Astyanax mexicanus: one gene and its partner. The protein of the gene in region 1 interacts with the protein of each later gene in a pairwise test. Links are inferred from orthologs where the notes say so. Each region holds a gene or a part of one and is shown on either strand. Other genes may lie near its edges. The genes, in order: tns2a and shfl.

Region 1 (3,930 bases):
TAACTAAAACGAACTGAAATTACTGATAGAATACCCTCATTTTTGTGTTTAATTTATTTATAAGCGCTGTTGTACAGCCGAGTTGTACAGCGGGAGTTGTTGTGCCGAGCGCGCGGCACGCATGGTCCGTTAGTTCTTGTGTAAAGCGCTCGCGCTAGCAAGCCCACCCTAAAATGAACAGAAAAAATAAAAACAAAATAAAATTAAACTATAATAAAAATGAAAACTGTAATCACGTAGCTCTGGGGGCACGTGAACGCCTCCGCGTTTGACTTGCAGCATTGTGTGTAGCTGTTCTTAAAAATCATTTAAATTAAATAATAGTTCTATGCTTCTATGTTACAGTGTTAATTAACATAATTCTGATTATATTTCGCTCATTCAATCAGCCCGAAAACAGACAGTTTATGGGGCGGATCGGGTCAGGCTCATAATGGCAGTTTATGGTTCGGGCTTGGGCAGAATGTGCACGGGCTCCGGCTGGGTCTTTGGGCATGATCTAAGCTCTATTCTCTTTTGGTGAAGCTGTTATATTAATACCATTTTAACGGGCATTAAATTGTTGTTTTTGTCCATTATTTTGTTTTATATATACATATTTCTTTTGAGTGTGGCTTGGTTTGTTAAATTTCATCCCCAGGCGCGTTTTTCCGCTTTTTTCAGTATTACAAGTTTTAGTAATTTTCTTTGGTTGTGTGGAGAATTTCGTTTTATTTTTTTGAAATTCGTTAGATTATATTTTTGTCAACATTTTGGGTTTATTTTCGTTTGTTATTTTTTGTTATTTTTCTAATAATAATAGTAAATGCATAATTGATTTCCTTTTTTTGACGGGCGAATAATAAAAAGTAATGCGATAGTTACTTTTACTGGTAACTAATTACTTTTATAGTGGAGTAACTCCGTTAGTAACTCAGTTACTTTTTTGGAGAAGTAACGAGTAACTATAACTAATTACTTTTTCAAAGTAACGTGCCCAACACTGTCAACAGGGCAGTGAGAGCTGAGAGTGAGTGTGGTGGTGTGTGTGTGTGTGTACTTGTCTGAATGAGAGCCAGGAGAAGGGGAAGGGCCTCAAGTCAGCCGACAAAAACAGCTGCTCTAGTGTGCTCGGGAAAACACGGGCAGAGCGCGAGAGGACGAGAGGGGAAACGGGAAAGGGAAGGGGGGGACCTGCAGGGTCCACGGTTCTATATGGGTTGCGCTCTGGGTACGGACTGTTTCGGGGACGAGCCCGAGCCAGAACCAGAACCGATCAGAGGCACTCTGAGGAGGGAGAGGACAGACAGCAGGAGCAACATGAGGCTCACCAAGGTGAGTTTCTGCAGCAGCTGCAGTGTACTGATGTATGGATGTATGGATGTAGTGTGTGTTGGTTGGCAATTTAAAGTTTTTAATTTTATTAAAACACTACTCAACTTTTTAAAGGACCATTTAGGATTGTATTTCAGGATGTGCCATCAGATATTAAGGATACATGAGTTTAACTGTAGAGTTAAAGCACCTACAGCTCAAGTCAGCAGAGCTTCAGCCAGTATTTTCTTATTAGAACTGTGTGGAACATAACAGAAATCTCTGTGGAAAAGTTTCCAGCCTCCAATTCGGCCCACTGTCATTTACACACACAGTGTTGGCAGGTATGGAACACAGCCTGTGCATGTGTGTGTGTGTGAGAGAGAGAGAGTATATGTATGTATGTGTGATGGTCCAGTCCCTCCCTCAGTCCAGAGGATGCTCACACATGGTGAAGAGTTTGGGAATGTTGAGTCCTCTGGATGATACATCACAGAAATCTATGTGGGATGTAGCCTATTAATCTGACCACCAACATTCCCCCATTCCCAGTTCCACACACAGGTTTGCCATGTATAGAACAACAGCAGCAAGCAAACAGTGGTTCTGGCTATTTTTCTGCTAAACAGGTTATCACTGAGCTTCATTAAGGTTCGCTAACCATAGCTGGGCATTTTGGACACTGAAATGTATATATTTACTGATTACTTTGTGTCAATCTGGCAACCTGACTCCTGTATCTGTTTCACATATATCACTAGCATTTATACTGACTGTTCCTTTAAAGAAAGTTGTCCGAGGCCTGTTCTAAATGTCTCAGTCGCAATAGTTGCAACAGTTGAGTATTGTTCTATTTTGGGGTTTTTGGGTTCGGTTGAGGCATGAGTCAATTCACAGAGATGTCCTCATACAGATTACATTTCATAAGTCCAGAGCAGAGTTTTAGATGTTCTCCATCTTTAGTGGAGCATTCGTTTTCATTACCGATGCATTGTTCCAGTGTTTTCTGGTATTTGTGAACTTTTAAGCCCTGCAGAAATAGCTTTTGAATTATTCCCCATATGTCTACAATGTGTACAGTTTGTGGACGTGGTTCTGTTAGGATGTTGATGTAGTAAGGAATGATGTTGTTATGGAGTGGGAATAATGGAAGCAGAGTGTGTGTGTGTGTGTGTGTGAGAGAGAGAGAGAGAGAGGGAGAGAGTATATATTCATGTTTGATGGTTCAGTCCCCAGAGGATGCTCACATGGTGCAGAGTGTGGGAATGTTGGGGCCTCTGGATGATGTCACAAAATTGTTGTTAACTTTTGATGCAGGCCTGGGAATTGGACTTAAATTCGTGTGTGTGTGTGTGTGTGTGAACCCAAAACGTCTAAACACTGAAACTGATTGGGTCATGATGTAATGCACTGTTGCGATCTGTTTTCAATGCCCACTCCAAAGTAATTTGGAATAATGTGGATCACAGGTGGGAGATATGATGATACTGTATGTTAACATTATTGTGATGAAATGTGTCACAACTATTTTATTTTATTGATGTGTTATAAAGCAGTTACAGTTTAAGCTTCTCAAAAAAAATCGGCACTTGGCTTGGTTGCACATTCCAGAAGTTTCTTTTTTTCTTTCTTTTTTTTTTTTTTTTACAATTTATCATGCAGCTGCAGTATTCAACATATTTTTTATGACAACATCTTTGGTTACTTTGCATTAGAACTTATATATAGTACAGAAGGTCTGTTGACAGTACTATATTACAACCACAGTGATAATAAACATACAAAAATGAGTAGTATAATATGTTTAGATAAAGATAAAAGTTAAAAGTTTGGATGTTGTGAAGCTCCATATAATTTATATCCCCTGCCCTCCAAAGAAAAGGAGTTTCATCTATGGTTGAATTCACTGATGATACATTTCAATTAAACTCAGATGTTAGAATTTCTATGTTTTAAGTCAGAAATTTTGGTAACAATTTATTTGGATGGTCCTTTATAGCTGCCTCGCAGATGCTCAACTAACATTTAACAAAGTAGCTATAACTAGAAAATCCTATGGTTAACAGTGTTAACAATAAACTTACATCACTGTACACTGTAAAAAATAAAACCGTAAAAAAAAACGGTCAAATTACTGGCAGCAGCGGCTGCCAAACAAAAACCCTAAAATTAAAGTAAAATACTTTCATTCATATGCAGTGCAAAACCAGTAGATTCACATGCATTTTCATTAAAGGTTTCACATACATACACCAGTATTTTACAGTTTTTCAGAGCATATTTACAATTAAATTTCTTCAATAAAGCGATTTCAATCAATGTTCTGCAGGGAAAAAATGTTATTTTACCTTTTTTTTAACTAACTTTATTGTCTTTCAGGTTGTGAGCTTTATGATTCACAAATTAATGTGTATTTGACTCATTCAGTGACATTCAGTGACAAACTGTATGATCTTTTCAGAATTTCTTTATTAACAGGCTCTCTGCTCATTTAAAGCAATAAAAAGTGCTCAGAGAGTAAAACCACTTATATTAGCACAGTCTAAAACCCAGCCAGGTGGATAAAACTGCTATGAAACTACATCATGGTGAGCCCTCTAAACTGAACATCTAATTAACATAGCCACGCCCCACAGA
Region 2 (3,930 bases), on another chromosome or scaffold:
GAAATGTAGTTTTTTTTATTATTAGAATTTTTTTTATCGTGCGTTTCCTTATGTTCTTTATGATTCCGAAGGCAGGAGCTCAAAAACATAATTCCATAAATGAATAAATTAAACTGAAAATCAAGCGATTTTATAACGATTTAAAACATACGAATTTCTCAAGAACTGGATGTTAATGGAAAAAATAAAATAAAAACTAAAAAAGCTTAGATATTTGACTAATTTTTAAATATATATTGTTTTATTATTATTATTAATTTTTTAATTACACTGACAATGACGCACCACAATAAGGTCTAAACAAATGCTAAAAATGATGACAACTGTATCGTACGCGATAATATCGCCAACATGTTTGGAATATCGTGAAAATATAGTTTTGTTTTTTTGCTATTTTTTAGCAAAAGAAAAAAATACACTGGTCTTATTATTTCCCATTTTATATCTACTAGAGATCACTTGGTATCATTTATTTATTTTATTTTTAATCCTGGATATATGGAGATATTTAGTGGGAATTAACGAATTAATTAGTATCATGACATTCTGGATTATTGACTTCTGTTGCAAATCTGATGTGTGCACAGCACCATGGGAAATGTAGTTTTTTATTTATTATATATATTTTTTCTCTTTTTTTTTTTTAGAAATCGTGCGCTTCCTTAAGAGGTTTGGAGGGGATTTCGTGAGAGAAGGAGCTCGAAAACACACTAAATTACACAGGAAACACAGCTTAATTTCACAAATTATTAAATTAAATTATTCAATTAAACTGAAAATTAAGCGCTTTTTACACGATTTAAAGCGAAAAAATGAGAGTTGCGTTGTGTCGCTCAGTCTCTGGCTCCACCTAGCGGCGGTTTCCGGAAAGCGCTCCCGATATGAAACTGAAAGTAGAGCGGAGTCTGAGTACAAACAAATCCTCACCGCAGTGTTTCGGCGTCTGGGCGCGTTCGTGGGCGAGTTGCTGGTGTGGAGGGACTTTAACGCGCTGGGGAAATGAGCCGCTTCAGCGAGGAGGTGGAGGTAGGCTGATTTAATCGCTGCAGGACCCGCAGGCCGCGCTGTAACGCACAGCTAACTAAACTAAACTACCTGCTGGGAAACTGAAGTAAATACAGGGTTTATCTGCGGGGGTTTAGCGGGGTTTTACAGGTACAGGTTTAGGTAACGTTAACTGTGAAGAGTGTGAACACTTTATACATCATTTCTCTTTATTAGAAATGTCTGCACAGCTGCAGTGTGTGTGACTGTGTGTGTTAGAGGTTTAATAGTTCATTTCCTTCTCTAAACATATGTTATAGTAATGTGTGGGCCTGTTAGTTCCTGTTACTCCTTCTGTTTACTTACAGCTAGGTTAGTTTTAAAGCATCTACAGCTCTAGAAAAAAAAATCACATCTGTTTCTGAATCAGATTTTCTGTTTTTGCTATCTATAGGTTTATGTTTGATTAAAATGAACTTTGTTGTTTTATTCTATAAACTACAGACAACATTTCTCCCAAATTCCAAATAAAATATTGTCATTTAGAGCATTTATTTGCACAGATATAATCTGTCTCTAGTATATATATAATGGGAAATGAGAACAGTGTGAATTTTTCTTTTGCTAAAAACAGAAAAAGTAGTACCATGATGTGATAATTAGAAGTGGGTGATATGGAACGATATTTCAGGGTATAATATTGTTCACCCTATTCAAAAATGTTGGTGATATTATTATTGTGAATGAAGCGATATGCCACACCCCTGACCAGAATGTTCAAAAGTATCATCAAAAGTTTCACACATCTTGTGGAATCCACTCCATCAAGAATTTGAATTGTTTTGAGAGCAAGATGTGGCCATATATAATATTTTTGTTTAACTTATAATCTTGTCAACCCATTAAGACATATTTTTCATTATGCCAATCATAATTTGTTTAAACTAATCAGAGCTGATAAGAAAAGAGTTCAGTGGGCGAACTAGGGTTGCAACGGTATGAGATTTTCACGGTATGATAACCGTCTCAGAAAATACCGCGGTATCACGGTTATCACGGTATCACAGTTTCTTACATATATTATTAAACTGACCCTTAAAGAAATTACAACAAAGGTTTTTTGTTCAATTAACTATTTATTGTAGAAACCTGGAACAACTATTTAGATAATGTCTCCTTAAAAAAAATAAGCTGTACACCATTAGGTGAAGGAAACCAGGTTTTTCCACTACTCTTAAGGGCATTAAGGGTGTATAAAAAAAAAAAATAATAATAATAATAAAATATATATATATATATATATATATATATATATATATATATATATATATATATATATATATATATACACACACACACACACACACACACACATATGTCACACATTACATGTCCTCTAAGAAGTAAAGATCCTGTGTTTACACTATTCAGTACAATTATTTAAGTTTAAATTATTTAATATCTGATAAACTGAGCCTGGGTCAGTGTCTGATCAACAACTGTTGTAAACATCCGTTTTAATGCCAAGTTGGTATATAACCACATACTGCAGAAAGAGGGGATTTATTTCTGACATGATCCTCACAATAGAGATTTCTATTTCAAGGCTTTCACACAGAGTCTGGTTTTAACATATGAAAAACAGGCACGTCAGAATTTGAAAATGAACGCATGTAAATGAATGGCGTCTTTCACATCCAGTCCGGCCAGGACCTTTACACGGACACGTGAATCCACCGTAGCACGCACTCCACACCTGTACCTGCGTACCCAAATTTCGGATAACTCAGCGCTTTTGCGGGCGCTTACCGCATGGGTTGTGCACGACTACAAAGAGGTTTTATTTATGTTCAGATTAAAATTATAAACTAAACACATACTTTGCGCTGCACGGCGGGGTGGTGTTCTTGGAGATGGGAGAACAGGTTTGACGTATGTCCACCTTTAGCTGTGACTTTACGGCCACATTGATTACAAATCAGATAACCATCCTCGGGTGTGTTCGGCGGGTCTCTGAAATAGTCCCACACTGCTGATTTTAGTTTAGCCTTTTTTTAGGCGGACAGAGATTTGTTTAGTCTGATGCACTTTCTGCTGTTCTCACCGCTGTGTGCTGAGCAGCTGAAGCGGAGCAGAGTTGCGCATGCGCGGGTGAGTTTCTCCGCTGGCTTGCGTTTTACCGGTAATAAGCAAACTCACACGGTTTGATAACCGCGCATTTTAATACCATGGTATACCGTGAAACCGGTTACCGCTGCAACCCTAGGGCGAACTGCTGATTATTGGATGACAGATTCGTAATAGTTTGTTACCTTTGCTCCTAAACGTTGTTTATTAGGTCTATTGCATGTGTGTACTGTTAAGTGTTTGTTGTTCTGCACGGCCATGTGAAAAAGTGCTTTGCTCTGTTCTGCTGACTACAGCTGGAAATGAGCGTCCGTCGGCTGAGGGAGAATTTCCACGGGAAGATTCCAGTGGACAAGGCGACTGTACTCATGCGGCGCTACAGGAACAACCACCGGATGGTTGCAATGGAGATCATCCTTATGAAAGACAGAGGTAAAGGGAGGGGAAGGGGGTGTCCAGCCATCAACATTCTGTAGGCAGCGCCCTGTGGGCAGCATCCTGCGGGCAGCATCCTGTGGGCAGCATCCAGCGGGCACTGAGAAAAGACTATAGAAGGAGATTCAGAGCTTCTGTCTCTGACTTTACTTTATCTACAAGGTGGAGCAGATACTATAGGTAGGAGTGTGTAATAGAGTGGAGGATAGTGGTGAGTGATTAAACACAGTGTTTAAAAACTCCAGCAGCACTGCTGTATCTGATCCACTCACTGTACTATCAGCACAACACACACCAACACCTCATACACCACCACCATGCTAATCAGTGCTAATCACTGCAGTATAACTGAGAATAACAATGACCCCCCACCCAAATAATAAT

Evidence for each region.
Region 2: the proteins of tns2a (region 1) and shfl interact in binary tests that used the Homo sapiens proteins (3 or more experiments, as listed by UniProt). The link is inferred for Astyanax mexicanus from reciprocal best matches to the Homo sapiens genes TNS2 and SHFL.

What each region holds. Positions count from the first base shown.
Region 1 is NC_064420.1:27,588,091-27,592,020, forward strand, and holds the start of tns2a (tensin-2), read left to right. Parts: upstream 1-1,112; 5' UTR 1,113-1,194; coding exon 1,195-1,314; intron 1,315-3,930. UniProt on the Homo sapiens protein: Tyrosine-protein phosphatase which regulates cell motility, proliferation and muscle-response to insulin. Phosphatase activity is mediated by binding to phosphatidylinositol-3,4,5-triphosphate (PtdIns(3,4,5)P3) via the SH2 domain.
Region 2 is NC_064410.1:4,704,601-4,708,530, forward strand, and holds the start of shfl (shiftless antiviral inhibitor of ribosomal frameshifting protein homolog), read left to right. Parts: upstream 1-840; 5' UTR 841-999; coding exon 1,000-1,026; intron 1,027-3,407; coding exon 3,408-3,543; intron 3,544-3,930.